Pelodiscus sinensis: one gene and its partner. The protein of the gene in region 2 purifies or fractionates together with the protein of the main gene of each other region. This does not show direct contact. Links are inferred from orthologs where the notes say so. Each region holds a gene or a part of one and is shown on either strand. Other genes may lie near its edges.

Evidence for each region. Proteins that work in one complex are often made in the same cells at the same time.
Region 1: the proteins of ING4 (region 2) and KAT7 purify together in Homo sapiens (affinity purification with western blotting; 6 studies listed by BioGRID and IntAct, with this or other methods). This does not show direct contact. The link is inferred for Pelodiscus sinensis from reciprocal best matches to the Homo sapiens genes ING4 and KAT7.

Annotation. Positions count from the first base shown.
Region 1 is NC_134739.1:15,008,833-15,016,209, forward strand, and holds the start of KAT7 (histone acetyltransferase KAT7), read left to right. Parts: upstream 1-4,358; 5' UTR 4,359-4,372; coding exon 4,373-4,660; intron 4,661-6,990; coding exon 6,991-7,138; intron 7,139-7,377. UniProt on the Homo sapiens protein: Catalytic subunit of histone acetyltransferase HBO1 complexes, which specifically mediate acetylation of histone H3 at 'Lys-14' (H3K14ac), thereby regulating various processes, such as gene transcription, protein ubiquitination, immune regulation, stem cell pluripotent and self-renewal maintenance and embryonic development.
Region 2 is NC_134711.1:138,605,871-138,613,507, forward strand, and holds the start of ING4 (inhibitor of growth protein 4), read left to right. Parts: upstream 1-4,635; 5' UTR 4,636-4,650; coding exon 4,651-4,695; intron 4,696-7,637.

The sequences.
Region 1 (7,377 bases), on a different chromosome or scaffold from region 2:
TTCTCCAGTCTACCACTTGTCTCTTGGGAGCAACAAGCAAATATAATACAGCCACTCCCCGACTTACAAACACACCGACTTACGACCAACATCCCATTAACCATATTATAATATTTTTGAGTTGAGAACCAAGTACGTCAAATTTTTCGAATAGCTCAGGCAGCATGTTTAAAGATATTTTCAACTTATTACCAAATCGAGTTACAAACGGGTTACAACCAGGTGTTCGGAATGTAAGTCGGGAAATGCCTGTATCAGGATCACAAAGCAATTTCCTAAGTAGTTTTAAAAATGCTGTTTAGCTTCACTGGCTATTAGCTTCTGCAAAGCAACTTAAAACAAGTCTTGTCACAGCATGATTGTCTATCCCATTTAGCCAATAGTTTGCTATCAGCACTGGTACTTCTACAGACCTATGTAATTTGACAAGATTTGCACATTTGCAAGAATTTAACTTAACATTCTACAAAAATCTTAAGTGTGCATCTTACAACTATGACTTAATAGAATTTCAGTCAGCTGTTACAGAACTTTTTAGCCAGACTCATCTCAAAACACATTACAAACTATAACTGATGTACAAGCTGTACAGAGAAATCCATCACCCACCAGTGAAATACAGCTACCACTGGGTGGGAAGTGGTAGTATTGATTAATGTGCAGAAACACTATTCAACAGTTTAGCAACGGCTTCTTTATCAGTTTGAATCTGAAAAAGGATTTGAGCAAGGTAGAATAACACTGCTCACATTAGACCAAAACACTAGTTCACACTTTAGCAAAAGTGAAAAGTACAATTCTTAAATTTCTAAAAATGATGATCAAAACGTTCTTTTAGACTCCATAATCCATCTTCAAATACATCAAATCTCAATATTACAAAAGGGCATCCAGCTAAGGCCAGATGAGTACCCAGGAGTCATGAGTACTCAGGAAAGACCCAACAAGGAAAACAACAGAACACCACTGGTTGTCACCAATAGCCCCCACTAAAACCCCTCAAACACATCATTGATCATTTACAACCTATCCTTAAAAAACAAAACAACAACAACAAAAAAACATTCCTCACTCTCACAGACCTTGGGAGACAGGCCTGACCTCACCTACAGACAGCCCCCCCCCCCCAACCTGAAACAAATACTCACCAGCAGCCACACACCACAGAAACACTTACCCAAGAACCTATCCCTGCAACAAACCCCATTGCCAACTTTGCCCACATATCTATACAAGCGACACCATCACAGGACTTAACCACATCATCAGGAGCTCATCCATCGGCACATCCACTTATGGGATCAATGCCATCATGTGCTAGCAATGCCCCTCTGCTGTGTATATTGACCAAACCGGACAGGCTCTGTGCCAAAGAATAAATGAACACAAAACAAATATCAAAAGTTAACATATATAAACCTCTAGTAGGAGAACACTTCAACCTCCCTGGACAGTCAGTAATGAGTTTTAAAGTAGCCATCCTTCTAAAAAAAGCTTCCAAATGAGATTACAAAGAGAAACAGCAGAACTGCTATTCATTTGCAAATTCAAAACAGTCAAATTAGGACTGAATAAGGATTTAAATTGCCTTTGTAATATGTAGTGAGGTAACCAATTTTCCTTCTTGGTAATTCACACCTCCTCCTCAGCTTCTATGCGTGAACCACATCCACCCTGACATAATTGGCCTCATTAACACTATTCCTACACTTGATAAGTAACTTCCTTCATACATATATCTCTATCCCTACCTCTGTTATTTCCACTCCAATTCATCTGATGAAGTGGGTTTTACTAACAAAAGCTTATGCTCAGATAAATCTGTTAGTCTAAGGTGCCACGGAATGCCACACTATTTTTAAGATTGTAAAACCCTCCAAACATCAGCCATCATGATTCATTTGGGGTGGAAGAGGTCACAGAACACTAGAACTGGAAGGGACCTCGAGAGATCTTCAAGTCCAGTCCCCTGCCCTCACAGCAGGATCCAGTACCATCTAGACCATCCCTGATAGGTGTCTTTCTAACCTGCTCTTCAATATCTCCAGAGATGAAGATTCCACAACCTCACAAGGCAACTCATTCAAGTGTTTAACTACCCTGACAGTTAGGAAGTTTTTCCTAATGTCCAACCTAAATCTTCCTCCCTTGCTGCAGTTTAAGCCAATTGCTTCTTGTCCTATCCTCAGAGGCCAAGGAGAACAATTTTTCCTCCCTGCTCCTTGTGACAGATACCTGAAAATTGCTATCATGTCCCCTCTTAGTCTTCTCCATTCCAAACTAAAGAAGCCCAATTCTTTCAGTCTTCCTTTATAGCTCATGTTCTCTAGACCTTTAATCATTCTTGTTGCTCTTCTTTAGACCTTCTCTAATTTCTCCACATCTTTCTTGAAATGTGTTACCCAGAACTGGACACAATACTCCAATTGAGGCCTAATCAGCGCAAAGTATAGCAGAAACAACCTTAAATTTTGTAAGGTTTAGGATTTGAAGTAGATAGGTAACTCATCAGCACTAGAACAGGGAAAGCATTTAGGTCTTGTCTATGCTAGAAAGTATTTTCTATTACAGTTATACCAGCATGACCTGCAGTGGAGGTGTAATGCACATAGCTCATACCATAGGTTCCCCCAAAAATGAGCTAAACAAGTAATATGACCTTTTTTACCCTTACATAACTGTCTACAGTAAGGCTTTGGCTTTATTGACATCTCATAACACTGTGGGAGGTTTTTTAAAAGAACTTTGAGTTCTTTGTACCCCTATATGATGCTAATGAAATCTCACCTCCAGATCAGCTACCAGAAGTGGGCCTCATCCTCCTTGATTGGATCCACCTCATCATCTCCAGCCTGATTCTGGCCTGCATATTTATATCTGCCTCTGGAAATTTACACTACATGCATCTGACGAAGTGGGTCTTTGCCCACGAAAGCTTATGCTCCAACACTTCAGTTAGTCTATAAGGTGCCACAGGACTCCTCGCCTCATGTGCAACAGTGTTATCAAGTATTATTACAGGGATAATCAGCTAAAAAGACATTGCAAGTTTTATCTGTTTTCCCATACCTATTAGAAATCTGTTGAACTGAGTGGGAAATGAAGAAATTACAATTTTTTAAAAATCTAACTCCTCCTCTCCCCCTATTTCTTTTACTCTCGTTATTCATGGCAGGCACTCATTCACTGCTTCTCAGGTTTGCAACATAATAAAGTAATAAATGAATAATTGTTCATATCGATTTTACTTACTCCATTAGGCATATTATAAAAATTAATAGGTTATACCTAAAATCCATAGAGGATGTTTATTACCCTCATTTGAAAGATGGGGAAACAGAGAGGTAGAATGCTCAAGGGACTGTCTCACAGAATCTCAAGGGCAGAGTAAGGAACAGCAGTGTGTGAAAGTAATCGCGGAGAGAGCAGGATTCTGTTCATTTGTTGAAGTGTAGGAGCATAAGCTTTTGTGGGCAAAGAAAGCTTATGCTCCTACACTTCAGTTAGTCTATAAGGTGCCACAGGACTCCTCGTCGCTTTTGCACATTCAGACTAACACGGCTACCCCTGTGATACTTGTTCATTTGTTGTTTCACAATTAAATTAATGGAGATTGCCTATCTCCTAGAACTGGAAGGGACCTTGCAAGGTCATTGAGTCCAGCTCCCTTCCTTCACAGCAGGACCAAGTACCATCCCTGACAAACTTTTGCCTCAAATCCCTAAGTGGCCTCCGCAAGGATTGAACTCACAGCCCTGGGTTTAGCAGGCCAAAGCTCAAGCCAGGAACTATCCCTGCCCCACAATGGTACCCTAAACCGTCGTGACGGGTCCCATTCTCCCCAGCGACTTCCCCGCCCCTGCCCGGGCGGAGCCTAGGGAGCGCGGAGCCGGGAGCGGTGTATTGGGGCAGTGGGTGCTGCTGTGGGGCGCTCAGGGCCCCCCGCCCCCAGCGAGGCGCACGCACAAACCACCCCCCCACGCCACGCTCGCCAGGCGCCTGCCCCGGGCCGGCCTGCAGCAGCCAGGGAGGAATCCCCACGGGCCGGCTCGAGAGCGGTACCCGAGCCCCGCCTGCCCGATACTCACCAGCCAGGGGCTCTACTGACAGCATCCAAGATGGCGGGCCCCGGCCTCAGAGGCCGGCCCCGACCCATCCCAGCCCTCAGGCCTCCTAGGGAAACGGCGCCTCCGCCTCCCCCGGGCCCTTCCCACGCTTTGACGCTACGGAGGTGTCCCCCTCCCCACCTCCTTCGCGCCCTGAACCAAGATGGCGGGCCGGCCCCCCGGGCAATGCCAGCGCCCACATCCAAGATGGCCGCCGCCAGCTTCGTCGCCCACCGCGCCTGGCTCCCTACCTGTCCGAATCCAAGATGGCGGCGGCCGCTGGCGTGAGGCGCGATCCGAGTCACGTGACGAGGGGGGGGTGTGGAGCGTGTCCCGGCGGAAGCGTGAGGGACCAAGCTGGGAACGGGCTCTGCTGGCGGCGCAGGAGCGGCCTGGCGCGCGGCGACCGTCAGCGGGGTAGAGCGAGAGACACGGCTGTCACCACGGAGCCCAGCGGTGCGAACGCGGCGGCCACCGCCGCGTCCCGGGCCGGGGGCACTGGAGACCAAGCGCCTTCGCTGCCCCCGCCCCCACCGCGGATGCCGCGCAGGAAGGTGAGTGCCGGGCGGGGCAGGGGGGTAGGTCTGCTTTGTCCTTGTCTCCCTCCCCTCCCCCAACAGGCCCCCACAGCCGTGAAAACCGAGTGAAAATAGCGGCCTTCTGCCCCCTGCTCCCGCCCATCTTGCTACCTGAATGGTTCCCCAGTAGGGACTGCTGAGCACCGATTGGTTACGGCGGCTATCACTCATCGCCTCAACGGTTGCCTTCTCCCCCTCCCCCTCATCTGGGGCATGGTCAACCTTCTTGACTTTCTGATTGGACACCGATTTGGAGCTCTGGTCGTTGATTGGCTGAGCCTTGCGGTACTGCTGGGCGGTGATTGGACATGCTGTCTGCCCGTCTCCGCCCCCTGCGGTCGCCTCCCCACGCGTGCCTTGTTTCCCCAGTTCGCTCTCCCTTCCCTCCCATTCAGGCTGCCCTCCCTGAGTGGCTGTTTCTGGTGCCGCCAGGGGCACGCTGATAGGCCGGCGTCTCCCATCAGTCACGCCCTGGGGCCGGGCCTCTTTTCTCACGGACGTTTCTATTGGAGAAGCTTCCGGTCCGCCCCGCCTCTCTTCGGCCGCGATTGGTTGGACCAGGCGGGGGCGCGCGCCGGAGCGAGCGGTAGTAACGCGGCGGGTGCAAAACAGAACGGGCCGCCGGGTGCGGAGGGGCGCGTCGCTGCTTTGCTGGGGGCGGGGCGCGCGCCCGATTTCTCACCGCCCCCCCCCAGCCGGGATTGTCCCGTCAGCGCCCCCCTTTGCCTCCCTCCCCCCCCCGGTCCCTGGTGTCCAAACGGTGCTGGAGCAGCAGCTGCTGAATCTCACTAGCCAGGCTCCACTGGCCAAATCGCCACATGTAGCTAGTGGCTGGAGCACCCCGACCCTGGACCGCCTCGCCCTCCCCACGCGGGACCGCCTCGCCCTCCCCCCGCCCTCCCCACGCGGGACCGCCTCGCCCTCCCCCCGCCGCCCCACGCGGGACTGCCTTGCTCTTCCCCCAGACTCTTCTCTCTAGTGTCCCGTTGTGTTGGGCTGCATTAACCCTCCCACGCCCCCCCCCCCCCATGCCTCAGCTCTCCCGCTACATGTCTCTCTGCCATCTTCCTTCAGGCTGCCTTATTTCTCCTCAAATATTTCCTGATAACGCCACACCACACAACACACACACTGTGGGCTGCTTTAGTGTTCCTGCTATACCACTTGCCTCGGACTGTGTTAGTTCACCCCTCTCCCTAATGCCCCTCTAGATCACACAACTATGGACTGCCAAACTCGCCCTTGATGGATTTCCTCAGGTGTCCCTTATCCCCTCAAATTCCCCTGGGCTCCCTCACCTTCCTCCTCTCCAAACTCGCTGGCTACGTCTAGACTGGCATGATTTTCTGCAAATGCTTTTAACGGAAAAGTTTTTTGCAGAAAAGCAACCATGCCAATCTAGACGGTTTTGTGCAAGAAAGCCCCGATCACCATTTTTGTGATCAGGGCTCTTTTGCTCAAAACAATACTGCGTTGTCTACACTGGCCCTCTTGCGCAAAAGCATTTGCGCAAGAGGGCTTTTGCCCGAATGGGAGCAACATAGTATTTCCGCAAGAACACTGACAATCTTACATGAGATCGTCAGTGTTCTTGCACAAATTCAAGCAGCCAGTGTAGTCAGCTGGCAAGTTAGCTGCTTTTGCGGAAAAACTTGCCAGTCTAGACGCAGCTGCTGTGTATAGGAGCATCTAGAAGATTCAGGATGATGCACTTGTATTTGTGAACCTGCCATCGCATGAAATCCTGCAGATTCAATCAATCCAACTCTGGAACACAAACCCTGCCCCAGTGGGATAAGGGAATGGTCATTTGATCATGGCATGTGTAGACCTGGGCTCCTGTCTTCCCTGCTGCTAACTCTGCTAGTGCTTGCACATCACTAGTATGCATTGGGTCTTGGCTCTGCTTTTTCACTTTCTTTCAAGAGCATCCTTTCAGAGGTAAAAGGGAAGCTCTGCTACGTATGTGTAGTGGTTTAGTGAGCACTCTGGAATGAGAGTAGTCTGTGTGGTACCTTTTGTGTTAAATTAGCAAGTGTCGGAATTGCTTGAAACTTCAGGTATGATCTTCATAAATGAAATTGGTGCTATCTGTAGATTTTCTAGATTTTGACCAGTTTGCAAAAATTCTGAATTGTGGATGGTGCTGTCTGATATCTCATGTTTATTGTATTAAAGCAAGTTCCAAAGCAAACTACCTGAGTGTCATTAGTTTTTTGGGGGTGGGAGAGGAGGGAGTATTGAATATTTAGTATTATAAGAATGGAAGTGCTCCTGTGCTAATGTTTGGGTCTGTGGTGTTACAGAGGAATGCAGGCAGTAGTTCAGATGGAACCGAAGACTCCGATTTCTCTACAGATCCTGAGCACACGGACAGCTCTGAAAGCGATGGCACATCTCGACGATCCGCCCGCGTGACCCGTTCCTCAGCCAGGCTCAGTCAGAGCTCTCAGGGTAAATACCTTTCTTCCTAGCCTCACCAGACACAACTGGCTGGCCAGTCACAATATCCTTGGCTTGTTAATACTTAAAGGAATTTTAGTGAATCTATACCTTTAGTTTAGTTAATCTCATTCATTATTTTCTCTCATTGAACACAAATGTGCCAGGGAAAGAAACAAAGGCATTGCAAGGATGCATTGCATAAAATAGGTTGTTCAGTCTAATGATTAAAGAGGGGGTTGGAAGTATTT
Region 2 (7,637 bases):
TGTGTGTTTTAATCCTTTTTTTAAAGTTGCTTGGTAACACATAGCAACCAAGAAATGTTCCCCCAAGTGCGTGCATGTGTGTGTCAGTGGCTCAGTCTCAGATGGTTCCCCCCCCCCCCCCCCCCGTAGTGTCTAGATACATTCCACATCTTGGCCCACTGCCTCCATTGTTACTGGAACCCATTGAAGAAAAGGAGACTGGAGAAGAACCTCTAGATACTCCCTCTGCCCCAATATCTCTTCTTCCTTAAATGAGGTTATCACTTCAGAGTCAGCATTGTGTCCTTCTGATGACTTTTAAAGTTTTTCAAGAACTCCATTAGGAGACTAGCCTCATCCTTGATGATAAAAAGAGAACTTGTGCAAGACAGTTTGTGCAGACTGTTGATTTGGATTGCCCTTGCCATTAATAAAGCCTCACTGGAACCTCTGAAGACCTTTTAGCAGACAACTTGCTGTAGCCCACCCATTGCCAAACAGACAGGCTTTGTGTTCCTCAACAAGACTTCAGGTATTTCTTTAACTGTCCCATTACAGACTCAATGATCACAGCAGCAGATGAATGTTTGAGGCAACTTCAACCCAATAGGAGACTGGATCTTTGTGGGAAGAAGGCATATATGATTGTGAGCCTTCAAATGAGTGTGTCAAATTATTTGTCACTGTCTAAATATACTTTATTAACTTATCAGCAATTTCAAAAATTTTGGTCAAACTGCCCGAGCAATTCTTGACCGTAGTTTTGTAATGTCATCTCATGACTTGTACATCTCTCCATCTAAGCTATGTCTACACAACAAAGTTTTTGCGCAAAACCAGCTATTTTTGCACAGAAACCAGCAGAGTATCCACACCTGAAGTGCATTTTTTGCACAAGAAAATCAACGGAACAGAGGGCTTTTGCTTCCACGAGGAATAACTCCTTTTTGCGCTACATCTCTTTTGCAAAAAGGCAGGTGTGGACCCCTATGGGAAAAAGCACACGTGCTCTGATGGCCATTCTGTGAATGGTCATCAGAACTTTCTTGCGCAAGAGTGTCTATGCAGTGTGGATGCTCTCCCGAGCAAAAGCACATCACTTTTGTGATGCGCTTTGATGTCTGGACATGTTTTTGCACAAGAAGTTTTTGCTGAAGACCTCTTCCACAAAAGGCTTTTTGCGTGAAAACCCTGCAGTGTAGTCAAAGCCCTAGCGATTTATGCATCAGACAGAGTAAGACATAGGGGCATAGGTGGTCTGGCTTAATGGTTACAGCTGGGTGGGTGTCCTCAAGTCAAGGACAGCCACAAGATGGCGGTCAGCAAGCAGGGACTGCAGTAATTACTAGAGCTGGAATTAATAGGCAGGAGTCCGGTTAAGAGTCAGCTTGGGTCAGAGATCAGAAATGGTGGTCATGACACTGGAATTGGGAGTCGGGGTCAGAGTTGTAGGAGTTAGAGACTGGAGATCGGAAAACAAGGTGAAGCCTTGAGTTGCACCTGGTCAGAAATCTGTGTGACTTCCTGACAACTTCCTAGGACACTCTCCATGGTTAAATAGTGAGCATGAGCCAGTCAGAAGTCTGCAGGATGCTCTTACTCTGGACCTTTTATGGGATATGTCTCATGGTGCCTAATCTCTACAGGGCTGATTGTATATGGCTCTGCATGGTCTCCCTGTATTTGTGTGAGAACACCAGCTGTAATAGACTTCACAGACCTTGGTTCTAGCCCAGGAGTGGGAAAAATCTGTCTCATGGGCTGGCTTCAGCCAGGCACCATCTTGTAGCTTGGCAGGCCCCTCAGGTAGGCTCCCTGCCCCCATATGCCGCTCAGGGTGGCTGGCTGCAGGAGCCATATGCTCTCTGTGTAACATGAGCCAGGGAAGGGGGGAGGGGCCCTCGCACATTGCCTGCACCACAAGTATGGCCCAGGCAGCTCCCATTAGCCAGTTTTTGACCAATGGGAGCTGCAAGATTGTGCTCGGGACAGGAGCAGTGCGCAGGTCCTTTGCTCCCCCTCGGTGCTTACAGCATTCAGAGAGCACATGACCCCCACAGCCAACCACTTCGAGCAGCATGCAGGGGTACAGAAGGCAAGGAGCCTGAGAGTCCCACTGGGATGCTTGCCAGGAGCTGCCTAGGTAAGTGCCTCCTGGCCAGAGCCTGTATCTGACTCCTTAGACCCTCTGCTCCCCCTCCTTCACTCCATTCCCCAGTCCAGATCACAACCCCCTTCTAGACCCTGCAACCTCTCCTGCACGTCTCAATGTCAGAATCTTCTACCCCCTATCCCGAGTTCCTTTCTGCACCCAAGTACTGCCTCCATTAGTGTCATGGAAAAATGTGGCCCTTGACCACTTACCAAATTCTTGAAGTGCCCCCCCCAATCAAAAATTATTGCCCGCCTCTGTTCTAGTCCCATTGATCTTCATAGTTGGCTATAGCCATTTCTATGAAACATTCTTCTTGGTATCAGGCCTCCAGTATTCAAAAAGAGCTTCAAAATACAGGGGAAGTTTTACCATTTGAGGATACTAAACTGTTCTCCCAGAACACCAACTCTTGCGGAGCTCTTTGTTTGCTTGGTGTGTACATCCTAGTGCAGAGTGTCCCCACTATATGTCCAAGATACTTTTAAAAAAAGTGGATGTATAGTGAAAGGACATAGAGCAGGGAATTTTTTCCCCATGCTTGACTTCTGTTTGCGTGATTGGGTTTGGGTTTTTTGTGCAACGGAAGAGCGGGGAATGGGAGCACTGAAAATGAAACCGTTCCCACAAGCATCAACAAAGCTAATGCGGAACCAACATATACCAGGGTGACTTATAGCAGAGATGCCCTATAACAAAAAGTAAGCAGTGTAAGTCCCAAAAGCAGTATAAACCCTATTATCAGCAGAAGCCTCTAGATGGAGTTCTAAGTTTTCTATGCATCATCCACCAGCATTATCTCTAACAGGCTTTCTCTACACAAGATGTCAGTGATTTTTGAAACCAACTTAAAAGCTGAGATCTTTATTGGCCCACATCTGGGCAGAACTTATAGTATTAGTGTCAGTAAAAACACGGATTCCGTTTTCCTTAAAGCAAAGCTTTGTATTCTTTCAAAGATGTTTTTCATTTGAAAGAATCACAGGCAGGCAACAAAAGGCTATGCAAAAGGCTAATAAGTCCTAGGTCCCCAAGCAGAAGCCCTCACTAGCTCCTGGGCTAGTATCCTAAATGGCAAACAAAGCAGCTGTGGGCTTCTGTTTCTTCTGAAACACTTCATCTGTCAGGTATTTCCTAGGACAGAGTGGTAGCTACCCTGAAGCCCTCTAGCTCAAACTTACCTGATACAAGGGTGTTGGTTGATCTGGGGCTTCTTGTTTTATCATGTCACCAGTCTCTTTTTAAATGTTAAATTGTATGGAGAATGAGCATAGGATATTTTCCCATACTTGTATCCTTTTTCAAAGGAGTCACATGTTCCTGAAATATGCCACACTGGCATTTCATAACTTGTTTCTCTGATGTGTTTGGAAGGGACAGTAGGGATAGATTGACATTTACTTTCTCATCAATCATTCACCTGAGCTCTAGCTGTTGTGCTGTCTTAGAATGTCATTTGACCCTGAACTGTCTCCTCTAAGGTCACCATTTACATGTTTTTATGAGATATGTTTGGTGAACATGACAGTCCATGATGTCCATAGTTCTCTGAGAAGTACAAATACACACACGGCCCTTGATTAAACATCCAGAGTACATAGTTGTACTAGCGTTCAAGTGTACTATCAGTACTCTCAGTAAATTTCCATATATCCTGTCTGAGGCAGAGAATCCTGCTCCCAGAATCCTCAAGTAAATTGAGATTTGCCAGCCTTGAGTCAACCACAGCAATTCATAATACCCAGCACCATCCCAACAGTCCCTTCTCAATATCCAGTTACTAACAGTGATTTTGATATTACAACAACAACACCAATTATACCTATTATTTTTGGGCCATGTGTCTCCTTTTTAAGTTAAAATGACATTTTGCAGTCTTCAGTTGTATAATTTGGCAATTAAATTTTTAAAGGGTCCCTGTAACGTTTGCTTTTTCTTATACTGTTTACATATTTGATGCACAGGAAAAACAACACTGTTATTCCAGGAGTCAAAAATACAATTATCCATTGATTCCCACACCACTCATTACATGACACAAAGTGTCATACTGGGTACTTATTTGAGAATCTATATCTTTTACAGCTTTTTCAATCATCTTGTATTTTCAAGCAAGTGCACTTTTTATACTTATTAGAAGATTTGTTGTCTGTTCTGATTTAGTGTTCGCACGTATGTTGTATTTCCATGTCTTAATCTTTATCATTTCCTCTATTTCCTCTAAATTTGGTAGCATCTATCTGGGTTGAGGTATATGCTTTTATTACCTGGGGTGTCATTGGTAAATTTATATTGGAAGTTAATTATTTTCCCCCTGCATACACCACATTCCTCATTCCAGGTACCAATGCTGCCTTTGCAAGATCTTGAAGATCAAATGGGAAGACAGGCACACTAATCTCAGTGTTTTGGAAGAGGTAAAGACCACCACTACTGAGGCAATAATCATCCGTCAGCAACTTTCAAAACAGGTCCTGTTTTCTCAGCTGAAAGAAGGATACTGTAATGTGCAGGGCTTAATGAACCGCGGTGAAAGCCGCTTGCCAGCCCCGCACTGCGCATGTGTAAGAGCCGCATTTTGCATGCACGCGTTGCCGGTAAATGGGGCACTGGGCTGAAATCTACTCTCCAAGGGGCTTTCTCCTTTGATTAAACTCTACTGTTTTCAGCACTGCAGTAAACCTGTTCATGGAACTGAGTTTACAGATCAACATACAAAAATCAATCTTTTCCTCTGTATGGCCAACCTCAGCTTGATAAAGGCCAGAGCATCCCATGCTGCAACACAGGTTCCACACCTTGGCCATGCTTATAGAGACAGCCCTCAAATATCAGCCAAATGCTGCTTCCGTCTAGGGCACATGGCAACAGGCACAGATGTGATACCTCATTCCAGACTTCAACTGCAGTGCCCCCAGATGTGATTCAGCTCAGTCTAAAGACTGACTAGACATAGATTAGACTGCCACTACCCACTAAGGGTGTGTCTAGACTACATGCCTCCTTCGACGGAGGCATGTAGATTAGCCAGATCGGAAGAGGGAAATGGTTTCACGAGGCTTACCTGTGTCGATGAAGAAAGGCTTCTTTGTCGGGGCATCGCGTCCAGACTCCCCCGATCTGCCGACAAACAGCTGATCGGCAGATCGGGGCAGCCATTTAAATTTAAATGAAGCCGCGATTATTTTAATCGCGGCTTCATTTCCCTCTTCCGATCTGGCTAATCTACATGCCTCCGTCGAAGGAGGCATGTAGTCTAGACACACCCTAAGATAAAAAACTCTAGACTGGTGGAAAAATCCAATGAACATTTGCAAGATGATTCCCTTTCCTCAGACTTCTCTGATGTTACCACCAAAATCATGCCTCGTAGTTTGGCTGTGCACTCCATCCAAACTAAAAACACTGAGCAAATGGTTAGCCCCAAAAATGTTCTTCCATATGGACCTCCTTGAATTCAGGGCAGTCAGAAATACCTATATCCATCATCCCACTGACCAAGGAACACACACAATAACCTTAACAGACAACATAGGACAGGACAAGGAGTAATGGGCTTAAAGTGCAGCAGGGGAGGTTTAGATTGGACATTAGGAAAAAATTCCTAACTGTAAGGGTGGTCAAATATTGGAATAAACTGCCAAGGGAGGTGGTGGAATCTCCCTCTCTGGAGATATTTAAGAACAGGTTAGATAGACATCTGTCAGGGATGGTGTAGATGGAGCTTGGTCCTGCCTTGAGAGCGGGGGGCTGGACTCGATGACCTCTTGAGGTCCCTTCCAGTCCTATTATTCTATGATTCTATGATAGCATGCATAAATTGGCAGGGAGGAACCAGGTGCTCTCTCTACTCAGAAGTACTAAAGTTATAAAACTGGTGCAGTTCCCACATCTACCTTCTGGGAGTACAAAACTCAATGGACAGTTGCAATTGCAAATTCCCCCATGATCATGAATAGAAGTTAAACCCAGCAGTGCTTCATGACCTATTTAGGCAGTGGGGGGCACCAAGTGCAGGAATGTTTGCCACTTACCTGAACAAGAAATGCCAACACTACTGCTGCGGAGCAGAAATAGGGGAATGCTTGGGAAATGCTCTTTTTTCCCCATGAGACAGGGACCTTTTCTATGCCTTACCCCAGTTTCCCCTGCTCTCAGGAGTCCTATTAAAAGTAATTATACATCATACTGATTGCTTCCACCTGTATAAAACAGATTTGATATCCTCACCTAGCATGCTCAATCTCTCTTCAGCCCACTCCATCTGTTGCAGAACAAAGGATGCACTCTACATCCCAAGCTGAGGATACTTTTCCATCAAGCTCTTTTATTCTGGATCATAGAAAGCTCCTGCTGAAGGGAGACGCAAGAAGTATTCCTACACAGTAGAAGATCCACTACATGTCATTCTTGTATACTCAGGTTTGGTGTATTTCACAACAAATTTCCCCAACATACACTGCTCTGCCAGTGGACCTAGACTATGTACTAATTCTCAGAAATTCAGGGTTCACTCAGAGCTCACCTAGCAGCAGTAGCAACTTTCATCAACAAGTTGTGGGATTCTCAATGCTCTCATGCCAACCACAAAACAGTTGTATAGTATAGGAAATCTTTTTATATAGGAGTATAGTAAATCTTTTCTCCCAATCCTGCCATCCCACTCCTACATGGGAACTAAGTCTAGTGTTGAAAGGCCTGACTAGACTTCCCTTTGAGCCTGTGACTATTTGTTTGCTCCCAAATCTGTCAATGAGAGTGGCCATCCTGGAAGGAGAATAGGGGAAATAGCAGCTCTGATGGCACATTCCCTCATACAATATTCTTTCCAGACACGGTCACACTCGGATCACATCTGCAGTTCACCCCCAAGGTGACCTGTTGTTTTCACAGAAATCAACTGAACCTTCACACAAACCTTCTTACCTTCTACTCTAGCCTCACTGTGATAACAGGGAGTCTGAACTACTACACACTAGATGTTATGAGAGCCTGAACCCTTTTACTTGGATAGACCAGAGGCATTTAGAAAGTCTCCCAAGCGTTTTATTTCTATGGCAGAGAGATCCAAGGTCTCAGTAGTATCAACTTAGGGACTCTCCAAATGGCTCTAAAACGGTATTAAAATATGCTGTCAGGTTTGCAACATAACACCTCTATCCAATATTCACACTCACTCCATGAGGTTGGTCTGCTTCTCAGTTGCTGCTGAACTGGCAACATAGTTGTGTTTCCATATATATGCAGAATATTATACAATTACTGGAGAATCGGCTTCTGATGCCATCTTTGGTTCCACAGTATTTTCACCCGTAACTGACTCAAGTAGAAGCCCCTGCCCACCATTGAGGATACAGCTCAAGCGTCACCTGCACTGAAACACCCCATAGAGAGGCTACTTGAAGAAGAAGAGTTGCTCACCTTACGTAGTAATGATGTTTTTTTGAGATGTGTCCTCTTGTGGGTTCTCCACAACCCACCCTCCTCCTCTCTACTTTGGAGTTCT